Linked DNA regions of Macaca mulatta. The protein of the gene in region 1 purifies or fractionates together with the protein of each later gene. This does not show direct contact. Links are inferred from orthologs where the notes say so. Each region holds a gene or a part of one and is shown in the gene's direction. Other genes may lie near its edges.

The links.
Region 2: the proteins of KDM5A (region 1) and SIN3B purify together in Homo sapiens (affinity purification with mass spectrometry; 4 studies listed by BioGRID and IntAct, with this or other methods). This does not show direct contact. The link is inferred for Macaca mulatta from reciprocal best matches to the Homo sapiens genes KDM5A and SIN3B.

The regions. Positions count from the first base shown.
Region 1 is NC_133416.1:1,162,291-1,168,665, reverse strand, and holds the start of KDM5A (lysine-specific demethylase 5A), read left to right. Parts: upstream 1-2,042; 5' UTR 2,043-2,266; coding exon 2,267-2,431; intron 2,432-5,437; coding exon 5,438-5,515; intron 5,516-6,375. UniProt on the Homo sapiens protein: Histone demethylase that specifically demethylates 'Lys-4' of histone H3, thereby playing a central role in histone code. Does not demethylate histone H3 'Lys-9', H3 'Lys-27', H3 'Lys-36', H3 'Lys-79' or H4 'Lys-20'.
Region 2 is NC_133424.1:17,354,364-17,360,638, forward strand, and holds part of SIN3B (paired amphipathic helix protein Sin3b), read left to right. Parts: intron 1-226; coding exon 227-434; intron 435-757; coding exon 758-898; intron 899-1,555; coding exon 1,556-1,672; intron 1,673-2,889; coding exon 2,890-3,128; intron 3,129-3,828; coding exon 3,829-4,012; intron 4,013-6,275.

The DNA.
Region 1 (6,375 bases):
GAGGGCAATCTGCGTTATTCAAAGTCCACTGATTTGTTAATCTCATTGCAACATACCCTAACAGAAACAGTAGAATGTTTGACCACGTATCTGGGCACCATGGCCCAGCCAAATTGAACATCAGGTTAACCATCATACCAGTCAAGCTGTCAGATATAATTGCAGGAGTGATCCCAGGTGAGGCCATGACAACACCAGATTGCTAACCCACCGAATTGCCATTAGTCGTTTTTATTTTCCGCCACTAAGTTTTGAGGTGATTTGTTACACAACAAAAGGTAACTGAAACCAAACTATCTGCGAAAGTGTCTGTGGGTTTAGGCTGGGGGTTATGAGTAAGTGGACATTAACTTTTGTGGATGCTATAATCAAGAGGAGGGATATTGTGTATGTTACATGCTGGTACAGTCTCAAACAAAACGTGGCATACGTAAATGTAGGACGAGGCAACGGCACACAAGGCAAATTGGTTTGTGAATCATTTATTTAGCAGATATTTATTGCACACCTCCTATACACCAACCACTATTCTAGGAGCTGGGAAAACAAGACAGACACTGTCCCTGCCTTTGTGTAACTTACGGTTTGAGGGAAAAAGGCAATTAAATATGCAATTTCAAAAAGTTTGACAAGGAAGTACAAGTTGCTGCTGACCACACCAATTTTTGGGATTAGGAAAGGCTATCTAGAAGTGATATTTAATCCTTCATATTTATTTAAATAAATATTATTTATTATTATTTAAATAAATATTATTTAAATAAATATGAAGGAGGAGTTCACAGTTCACAGATTCGCTCAGCCTAATCCTTCATATTTATTTAAATGAAGGATGAGTAGAAATTTAGGAAGGGGATATAATGATACAAATGATTTTGGGTCAGCAGAGTACAAAAATGTTCTGGACAGAGGAAATATGTGTGATGGCTCAGAGGTGAGAAAAATCATGGTGTACTAAAGTCACAACAAAGACTTCTGTAGATCATATGGAGAAGCAGTAGAGATGAAGCTGGAGAGTAAAGCAGCAAATCAGCAATTAAAAAAGATGTTTGGAGTTGTTCAGTTTGGAGATGAAAAGTGACAAGATGAATTCTGGATTTTAGACAAAGCAATCCAACTTGAGAATGGAGAGGGATTTCAGAGGAGAAAAGAAATGAGCTGTTGTCAGTAAGAGTATTTAAATTAGGATACTGGTAACAAGGATGGAGAGACACACGATTATACATGGGAAGTGAGAGCAGAAAGCATGAGGACTATTTCTTGATTGTTTTTTTTTGCCTCAGGCAACTGAATAGATGAAGGTATTAATGAAACCAGGAACACTGAAGAAATAGTGACCAATTAAAGTACTTTGAGTTATCAGAGTGAGATGTCCTGTAGGTAGCTAGACAGTACTGGCTGGTAATTCAGAAGAGCTGCTGTGTTCTGTGTAAAAGGAAAAGCAATTCCTGGATGGTGGCTAAAGCCAGCTGGCAGGATTTAGGGGATGGGTTAGACCTGCACTTGTTTTCCTGGAGAAGAGGCGGGTATAAAGTGGCAGAGTGAGATTACTGTAAAATACCTGCATTCAAAGGGCTAAAAAAAAAGAGAAATGCTGGAACGGCTACTTGCTAGAAACGCAGCAGGGTAGGTTAAAACAAATCACGAAGCACGGGCGGCGAGGCTGGGGGGCAAACGCTAAGCCCTGCGTGATTTCGACTACACCGACACACAAAAGGGAAAGGGACCCTCCTCACCGGAAGCACAACCTCTGCCCTCTGGGGCATTACACATTCCTCCGCGCCGGAAGAACGCGTCGCGCCTCGCCTCGCCCCGTCGGCCTGGCTCTATCCCCACCTCTAGTGAAGGAGAGATTGCGCCTCTCCCCGACCCCCTACCTAGGGCGAGCCGCGTGGAGTCGTTGGACTGGGCAGAACTTTGGCAGGCAAGGAGAGAAACAGCCACACCGGGCTGCCAGGCAAGAGAAGAAGGAGGAAGGGCCAGATACCCGGGCGTCGCGCCGCTGCGGAAGGATTCCGTTTCCTGCGGGGGCGGAGGGATTTGACAGCACAGTAACTTCCGGAAAAGTCCTGACCCTCAGAGGAAAAGCCTTGCAAGAAACAATAACAAACGGGAGGAGGAAGCGGTTCTGGGGTGTCTGTGTTGAGCGGTTCTTTTCCGCGAAGATGCGCTTCGGCCCCAGTCAGGGGACGTGAACGGGCTCAGTGGGCTTCAGCCAGCTTTTCTCCACCGGTTCCCCACGGGGACCCCCCCCCCGGCCGCTGCAATGGCGGGCGTGGGGCCGGGGGGTTACGCGGCCGAGTTCGTGCCGCCCCCGGAGTGCCCCGTCTTTGAGCCGAGCTGGGAGGAGTTCACAGATCCGCTCAGCTTTATCGGCCGCATCCGGCCTTTGGCGGAGAAAACCGGCATCTGCAAAATTCGGCCGCCCAAGGTACCTCAGTCTGTGGAGAGAGAGGGGGAGAAGGAAGAATGGGGGAGTCCGTGCACTGGGTTTAGCCTTACTTTTCCGATCCTTCTCTCCTTTCGTATGTACTCTCCTTTATGTTGAGACAACCGGAGCCTGTTTCTGGATGTTTCTGCTTCGGTTTCTTTTGTGGTCTTATGTAGACACGTCTGAATGCGAGAAAGTGGTGTCTCTGGGGTCTTCCGCCTCGAACTTGGGAACTGATACTTTTCTCTCCGCTGTGGGCCTAAAGCCCTTCGTTAGCCAATATGAGGTTTAATTAAAGTACATTCTTCCCTCACGTATCCTCATTATGGTTTGATAGTCGGCTATCTCTATTCAAGACCTGATTGGATCAAATATTTGCAGGCCTCCTCTCAGGGCTAGGGTTTCTGAAAAGGTAATCTGAGCTCTAGTTCCACCAGATGGTATTATAGACATAGAACTTCAGACTAATCATTGCTGCAGTGAGAAAGTCTTACCGGGGAAAGAGGAGCAGCAATAATTCTAAAATTGAGAGGTTTAGGAAGAATTCATCTATAATGGAGGCGGGAGGAAATGTTGAAATCTCTTGACATAGGGAACTCAAGATCAACGATTTTAGAATCACAGTTATTGCAGATAACTAGGTTTGCCTATAAGGTTAATTATAATCTCAACATTGAGGTAAGGAAAGTAGGTACTATCCCTTGTGTGGAGGGGATTAATGCCCCAAGAGATTGAGTGAGATGCTCAAGGTCAAAAGGTGTTTTTCTTTACTCATTAGATCAGTGCTTTTTAAATGCTGTTGCGGGACCACTTGCACCTGGGTCAACTGGATGCTTATTTAAATGCAGATCTCTAGGCTTCTTGTGGAAGTTCTGGAATCTGCTTTTCTAGCAACTAGTCTCAGATGATTCTTCATGTAAGTTGAGGTTTTCGAACCATTGCTTTAGTCATTGCTTCTTAAAGGCATTTTGCTTTATGTTTTGTCTAGTATTGGTAATGATAAAATATTAAGCACTATTAACCAGTGTTGCATTTTAAAAAGCATCTGCCGTCACCACTGACTACCACAGTGATAGGCACCGCAGCGAATTAAAAACTTAAATGACAGCGAGGAGGAGCTAATTTAACACCTATAGATTGTTTGCTTTAATCTTTGAAGCCCTGATAGGTAAATGAAGTCCACCTTTTACAGATAAGATTAATCTGGATAAGTTAAAACACCAGATGGGTTATCTTGGGCAAGTGGCAAAGTATATTTTGAACCTAGATCGGTTTTTCTGATTCTGAAACAGACATAATGCTCTATGTAGAATGAGTTTAAGGTTATAGACTATTCGTTGCAAGCAGAGGATTAACAAATAATTGCTGTGATGATATGCATTGCCATCCTCCAAAAACTTCCATTTAACCCTTTTTTCTATCATAATTAGCTAATATTAACAAATCTTAAGCATTGAAGGTTTTCCTAAGTCGTATTTTCATCTACTCTTGAATTTATTAATTAGAAATTCTATTCACGGTTACTTCGATTAAAAAAAAGTTTTTTTTAACTTAAAAAATGTTGAAATAATGCTTTCTCTTTTTATGTCACATTATTGAAAATAAATCTTGTTTACAATCAGAATTTAATTTTAGTATTGGCAAATTTCTTTAGTTTCCAGGCTGGAGTGCAGTGGCACGATCTTGGCTCACTTCTGCCTCCACCTCCTGGGTTGTTTTTTTTTTTTTGACTACTCACGTTTTAAAATAGGTTTACTGTTATTCTGTTATTTAGGCCAAATCAAACTGTGTTATTTAGACCCCACTTGAAATATGCTCTCTGATTTTAGTTATATCACAGTCTGGAAACTGTCCTTGTTCTGTGTGTGTGCTTACTTTTTTTGTTGTTGAATATTTGGGTTCCCAGAAGCTGGGCTTTGAACAAAACTTTTGTGTAACATAAAGTGCTCTGTCGCGTTACACATACAGTACAAAAGAAAAAGTTTAAAAAGTTTATTTTTAATCTTTAATTTTACCCTTTTTGGTTTTTTAAATTTTTTGGTGTTTTTTTTTGATCTTGGTAAACCTGAATGTTTACTAGACACCGTTTTGTGGTACATGACCTCATTGAATTCCACTTGAGTAACTTGGGAAAGCATAATTGTGGGAGATAAACAGTGGGACTGGTTTGAAGAGGATTGCTTCTCTGGGTAATATAGGTTGAGCATCCATCCCTACTTTAAAAATTCCAAATCCGAAATCCTCCCAAATCTGAAACCAAGTTATCCTGAAACATTATTATTCTTTTTATTTTATAGAGACAGGGTCTCGCTTTGTTGCCTGGGCTGGTCTCATGCTCCTGGGCTCAAGCGATCCTCCTGCCTCAGTCTCCCAATGTGCTGGGATTACAGGTATGAGCTACTGCACCCAGCTTGAATAGATTATTTTTTTCATTGTATTAATGGTATGTCATATTTTTTCTGTTAACTACTTAAGTGGAAATAAGTGTAAGGAAATGATTGTTTATTGGTAGCATGTAAGAATTCACAGTCAGAAATGATGGTGATGCCAGACAACCACAGATTGTCCACACCGGATGGCTGAGTTAGTGACACCTTTCTTTTCTCATGGTCCAGTGTACACAAGCGTTATGCACCAAATTATTAAAAATATTGCATAAAATTACCTTTAGGCTATGTGTATAACTATATGAGACAAAATAATTTTGTATTTAGACTTGGTTTCTCTCTCCAAGATACCTCCTTATGTATATGCAGATATTCCAAAATATGGAAAAATCTGAAATCCAAAACACTTCTGGTCCCAAGCATTTCAGATGAGGGATACTCAACCTGTATTAAAATTATTTTATCTAAAAGAATTGCTCATTCTGTCTCTATAATAAAGAAGTCTTATAAGTTAGTCTATTAGCACCGTGATTATGGCAAAACCCCCCTTTAAGGGAATAAATAACGCATTCCTTGCTTAAATACCACTGTGTTTTTTTTAAAAAAACTTTCTATTTAGGACTGGCAGCCTCCATTCGCCTGTGAAGTAAAAAGCTTTCGTTTCACTCCAAGAGTCCAGCGCCTGAATGAACTTGAGGTAAGTGTTTTGTCACCGTTTCTGCCTCCTGATTCATTCTTTGTGTTCGGGCTGTAGGTAGAGAACTTTGAGAAGCTCATGGACCACAGCCTGGAGTTTGTGTTAATTGGTATTGAATAGTTACTTGATGTTTGGAGGAAGAGTGTGATTTTTTAAAAAATTGTGCAAAGTAGTTATGGTTTCTCCGTTTAACTGAGATCATGAGAAACTGTCTCTAGCCCTGTTGTTCTAGTGGAAATGTTCAATGTTTAGCTTCAATGCTTAGAATTCTTAAATTCTACTTTCTCTAGTGTTTCTTACTCTACTAAAAGTTTTGTTAATCTCCGAAGATTTCTGTCTCCCTTCATTCTTGGAAAATGGATTTTTAAATTATGTTTTAAAACCCTAGTTTTCAAAGTTAGTTTTGTTTTGTTTTGGTTTTGGTTTTAATGGAACTTTGCCAGGAGTGCTAATCTGATTTATTAAGATCTGCCTTTAAGCATTACTAATGTATATTAAATTATCTAAATGGAAGTCTATTTATGTATTGCTGTTTTTCCTGTCTGCGGATTTTCAGAAGGTTTTTCATTGTGATATGAAAACTTTTAGAGTACAGAAGGAAAATTATTGATAGCAAAGGTTTATTATGTCATTCTGAAGTGTTCCCCCCCCCCCAAAATATTTCTGAGAGTTTAATACATACTTTTTTTTTTCTTTTTTTGAGACAGAGTCTCGCTCTGTCAGCGAGGCTGGAGTACAGTGGCACGATCTTGGCTCACTTCTACCTCCACCTCCTGGGTTCAGGCAATTCTCCTGCCTCAGCCTCCCTAGTAGCTGAGGTTACAACGACCATGCCTGGCCAATTTTTGTATTTTTAGTAG
Region 2 (6,275 bases), on another chromosome or scaffold:
GGGACCTGGTGTGTGACAGAGGGGTGGGAGGCCCATTCATTCACACACCTCAGGACTTGTAGTGACTTCCTGTGTATTGGATTCTTCCGCCTCTCATTTGCGTCCATGATGTTGAATTCTGACTCTGTTTAAGCTGTAATGTCCACATGAAGCCATTCTAAAATCTCCAGATCCCTCTCAGAAGGCCCAAGGGATGACCAGTTACCATTTTTCTTTATCTTTGAAGGAAATTTCCAGAGCTGTTTGCACAGTTCAAGTCCTTCCTAGGGGTAAAAGAGCTGTCCTTCGCGCCACCCATGAGCGACAGATCCGGGGACGGGATAAGCCGGGAAATCGACTATGCATCTTGTAAGCGCATAGGATCCAGCTACCGGGCACTCCCCAAAACCTACCAGCAGCCCAAGTGCAGCGGGAGGACGGCCATCTGCAAGGAGGTAGCGCTCCCTGGGGCTTACATGTTCGCTGACATGGTGCATCCCCCACCCCTCCCCAGCAAACACCCAATACCCCCGTTTTGAATGAAATGCTGTGTGCTCAGCCCTCCTGAATGTTGGGTTATGGGTGGTGCTGGGATGTGGCCCAGCAAAACCACCTGAGCAGAGACAACAGTGTTGTACCCTGCTGGTAGTTTTGGCAAAACACAGAGTGTCAGGGATAATGTGGAGTTCACTTATTCATCTGTTATTTGAGTTAGGTTTATTGCTGCCATGATTCTGCTCCGTCCCGGGCTCACTGACCTCAGTGTGTTTCTGTTTAGCTTGACCATTGGACACTTCTCCAGGGTTCGTGGACAGACGATTACTGCATGTCCAAGTTCAAGAGTACCTGCTGGATTCCAGGATATAGTGCAGGGGTCAGCAAACTCTGGCCCATGGGCCCTGGCCCGCTGCCTGTGTTTGTAAATAAAGTTTTATTGGCACACAGACACAACCATTCATTTACATATTGCCTGTGGCTGCTTTTCTCACCACAAAGGCAGAGTTGAGTATTCATCCGGGATGGCCTGCAAAGTCTGAGATAGTTGCTCTCTGACCCTTTGCAGAGAAAATTTACCAATATCTGAAATGAAATCAGCCCTCCATATCTGCAAGTTCCTCATCTGTGGTTTCAACTAACCATGGATTGAAAATAGGTGGGGAGAGAGAAACCAAAAAATAACAGTACAGCAATAAAACGTAATCCACATTTTAAGAATGCAGTGTAACAATGATCTACACAGCATTTACATTGCATTAGGTATAAGTATTCTAGAGATGATTTTGCATAGGTTATATGCAAATAGGATTCCATTTGACATCAGGGACTTGAGTATCTGTGGATTTGGGTCTCCAGGGGTGGTTCTGGAACCAATCTCCCAGGATACCAAGGGAGTGTTCACTTGACCAAAGTCATGTTTTCCCTTAAAAACTTGATTCACCTTCCCATTTGTATAAGGCAGTTGCCTATCATATAATCAGGATTGTATTATGTATCTTGGTACTTTGTACACTGGCTAACAGTAAATCTTAGCTCCTGGGGCATGCAGCGCCGTTCATGGCGTTTCCTCTCGATGCAGGTACTGAATGACACCTGGGTCTCCTTCCCCTCCTGGTCTGAGGACTCCACCTTCGTCAGCTCTAAGAAGACACCGTACGAGGAGCAACTTCACCGCTGTGAGGACGAGCGCTTCGAGGTGTGTGTGGTGCTGTGGCCAGGCCTCCCAGCACATGCCTGTCCCCCTTCTCCACCGGACATGCGTCCTGATCCTCCTCCACTGTGCCAGTCTCCTTTTAGGAGCAGGGATTGCAGCACATTCCAGCAGCTCCTGGAAGCTTCCTGCTGGGTCTTGCTGGCCTCTGGGCTGGCTACCAGATGGCACTTTTTTTTTCTGTTTAAAAATTTTGTTTGGACTGGGTGTGGTGGCACACACCTGTAATCCCAGCACTTTGGGAGGCCAAGGCAGGTGGATCATTTGAGCTCAGGAGTTTGAGAACAGCCTGGGCAACATGGTGAAATCTCATCTGTACCAAAAATACAAAAATTAGCCGGGCTTGGTGGCGGGTGCCTGTAATCCTAGCTACTCGGGAGGCTGAGGCAGGAGAATTGCTTGAGCCAGAGAGGCCGAGGCTGCAGTGAGCCGAGATCAAGCCACTGCACTCCACCCTGGGCAATAAAATAAAAATAAATTTAAATTACGTTAAAGAAACTTTTATTTATTTATTTATTTTGCTTGCCCTGTCTCCCAGGCTGAAAGTGCAGTGGCACAATCATGGATCATTGCTGCCTTGACCTCCCAGGGTCAAATGATCCTCCCACCTCAGCCTCCTGAGTAATTGGAACCACAGGTGCACACTACCATGCCCAGGTTGTTGTTGTTTTTTTAACTTTTTTTGTAGAGATGAGGTCTCACTATGTTCCCCAGGCTGGTCTCACACTCCTGGCCTCAAGCGATCCTCTTGAGTAGCTGGGATTACAGACACACCACCATTCCTGGCTAATTTTTGTATTTTTAGTAGAGACGGGGTTTCACCATGTTGATCAGGCTGGTCTCGAACTCCTGACCTTGTGATCTGCCTGCCTCAGCCTCCCAAAGTGCCAGGATTACAGGCGTGAGCCACCGCACCGGGCCATAAATTTTTTTAATTAGCCAGGCATGGTGGTGCACACCTATATTCCTAGCTACTTGGGAAGCCAAGGTGGGAGGATCGTTTGAGCCCAGGAGGTTGAGGCTGCAGTGAGCTGTAATTGTGCCACTGCACTTCAGTCTGGGTGACAGAGCAAGACCCTGTTTCCTACACACACACACACCACCCCCCTCCAAAAATCCTCTGCGCTCTGAGGTCCCAGGCTCCTCCCTGAGGCCTCTTGAGTTCCCCAGTGGCTGACCCCTTCCTGCCTTCCTTTCCATAGTTAGACGTTGTCCTGGAGACGAACCTGGCCACGATCCGCGTGTTGGAAAGCGTGCAGAAGAAGCTCTCTCGGATGGCGCCCGAAGACCAGGAGAAGTTCCGGCTGGACGACTCCCTCGGGGGCACGTCAGAGGTGATCCAGCGCCGTGCCATCTATCGCATCTATGGCGACAAGGCCCCGGAGATCATCGAGAGCCTCAAGAAGAACCCCGTCACCGCTGTCCCTGTTGTCCTGAAAAGGTGCCCTGCGGCATCCCGCCTTCCCTTCCCTTCCCTTCCCTTCCCTTCCGTGCCGCAGGGAGCCCCTGGAGAGCTTGTTAGTGCTGTTTGTCAACAGGGGTAATCTCCAGGGGAGGTCTCAGGCCTAGGGCTGGCTTCCTGTATTTCCCAGTCTCCCACTCCTGAGAGGAGAGCACTGTGACCTTCTAGGACTTTCCACCTTGCACATAATCACATCTAGACATCTAAACTGCTTTAAGAGTCAGATGCAACCACTACACTGTGGCTTGCATTTTATTTAACGCTGCATCTCGGACACCATCTGGTGCTAGTGAACAGGTATTTATCAAGTGGCCACTTTAAGGCAGGTGCAATGCTTGGCCCTGGGGTTACGCAGCTGAGTGAGGCAGACCCAGTCCCTCTCCTCTTGGGACTCACAGCTGAGCAAGGGACCTGAGTGGCTGAGCTAGCAGCCATGCGGAGAGTGCTGGGTGCCTGGGAGGAGGCGGAGGACCCAGGAAGCTGGCCACATTGGCTCTGTAAGGCCATCACGCCCTTCCTCTGACGTGCACAGAGCCCACTGCATAGACTAGGCTGGGAGCTGGCTGGGCTTGGATCCTGGGCCCCCAGTCAAGTCCCAGAGGAAGACAGGCCAGCCCTGGGATGCTTCAGGGAGGATGCCCTGGCTTGTCCCTGGTGCTGACCCCTCTTCTCCCCACAGGCTGAAGGCCAAGGAAGAGGAGTGGCGGGAGGCCCAGCAGGGCTTCAACAAGATCTGGCGGGAGCAGTATGAGAAGGCGTACCTCAAGTCCCTCGACCACCAGGCTGTGAACTTCAAGCAGAATGACACCAAGGCCCTGCGCTCCAAGAGCTTGCTCAACGAGATCGAGAGCGTCTACGACGAGGTACAGCCTTCCCTAGCCCTGCCGGCTGGCGGGGGTGGGATCCTGGCTCTCCCGACCGCCAGGTCTGTGCCTCTGTTTCCCTGGTGCTTAGGTGGGGTAGCGGCATTGCTGTGTCGAGGCGAGGGTTCATGTCTCTGTGATGCCCAGCCTGCGGCCTGCCCTAGGAGAACCAGCAACTCTGCCATTGTCTGTTTGTTTGTTTAGAGGCAGAGTCTCGCCCGCTCTGTCGCCCAGGCTGGAGTGCAGTGGTGCGATCTCAGCTCACTGTAACCTCCACCTCCCCGGTTCAAGCGATTCTCCTGCCTCAGCCTCCCGAGTAGCTGGGACTATAGGCACGTGACACCACACCTGGCTAATTTTTGTATTTTTAGTAGAGACGGGGTTTCACCATGTTGGCCAGGCTGGTCTTGAACTCCTGACCTTGTGATCCACCCGCCTCAGCCTCCCAAAGTGCTGGGATTACAGGCGTGAGCCACCGTGCTCGGCCAACTCTGCCGTTGTCTGGAGAAATCTCTGTCCCTCCTGTGGGACAGTGACGGACTTCAGCTTAGATGGCAGGTGGCAGCAGCCTTCATTTCTTTCTTGCCGACTGTGCCCGGCACTGGTGTTAGCAATGCAGAAGGAGTCATATATCATCTGACCTCACTCCTGAACCTGACTCTGCTGCGTCATTATTCTGATTTTATTCCTCGGGGAAACCGAGGCACAAGAGGTTGCATTTGCCTGGGCTGGTCGCAGGGGGCCAGGGCTCCGAGTCAGTGGGTTCGAGGCTTTCGGCTGCACGTCCTCACTGCAGGCTCACAAGGCCTGAGTTACAGAACCAAGGCCAGCGGGACCCTCAGGTTGCCAGGAACTGGGCCTGTTAGTGGCTGTGCGTAGGGAGTGCCTGCCTGCAGGATCCTGAAGGGGGAAGCTTGGCAGGGTGTTGGGCATAGTGACAGCCAGCTGTCGGGAAGGTCCTTGGACACTCTGAGGAGGTGGCTGGGGAGGGCACGCTGCTCCCCAGGCAGTGCCCAGATCACGGCACGGGTTGCATTGTCAGCCTGGTGCCCACCTGGGCAGGGGGTGGTGCCTCACCTGATTTGGTGTCTTGCTCCCGTCACTGCACAGTGAGCGGTCGCTCCTTTTACAATATAGAAACGGAATCCACAGGAGCCAGGCTGCTGGCCCAAGGCCTCTCCCAGAGCCTGTGGGACTGTGGGGACCCCCTTCCCTCCCACCTCCCTCCCCATGGGCCACCCTCGCCCCAGGCCTACCCACAGCCGCTCTGGCTTCCTCACTCTAGTCCTCGGTGGATCCCCAAGCCCAAGACCCTGCATAGGTTCTGTGGGTCTGTAGTGTCTGCAAAGTGCAGATGATGAAGTAGCCCTGGAAATCCACCAATGAGACCCCGAGTTCCTGGGTCCCTCCCTGGGGCTGGGGCTGATGAGGCAAGGGGCACCAAGGTTGGCCCCCTGGCCTGACGGATCTCTGCACATGCAGGTCCTTGATGAGTTCCAAAGTCAGACCCCCATTCCATCACACAGTTTACAAAGCATGGTTACGGGTCACAGACATGGGGATCGTGCTTCAGAGGGGACTGTAAAGGAATTTTCAGGGTTTATGGCATAAATGAGACCTGGGGGACTTAGGAAGCGGTCAGAGGGCGGAGGTCACACTGAAGAGCCCGGAACAGGGCTGAGCGTGCAGACTCCTAGGAACCGGCTCAGCGTGCTTGGCCCCACCAGCCTCTACGCTGCCCTGCAGGGGAGGAGGAAGGGAAACCTCAGGCTGCTGGGAGACCTGGTCCTTCCCCTGGGAGCCTGCAGAGATGGCGTCCATGCTCACTTTCCCCAAGAGCCCCAGTGCGTCGGCCTCCCTGCCTCCCTCCCTGAGGGGTTGGGGCTGGGCACTGGGTGCCAGGACAGTGGTGTGGGAGGCTGGAGGAAGGGGTGATTGTCTTAACGGTGTGAGGGAATGAAAGTCGTGATCTGGATAAAGACCAAGGGGAGGGGTGAGCCTGGGACAGGGTTTTCCAGGGAGCGAGAGCAAATGGGCATGTGCAAAGGTCCCGCACCCACAGGAGGGAGCTCGGCGCCCTGAAGCATCGCAGGAAGGAGCCTGGGGGCCGTGAGGCTGGAGGGGCTATGGAGGGGCACCCCAAGGGCTGGCATCTTCTGAGGGGCAGTGCCTCAGGAGTGTTAGTTGAGGTGACCATGCTCCTGTGGGCCAAGTCGCCCTGGACCCAGTGAGGAGAATGGTTGGAACAGGCTGGTGAGAGCTG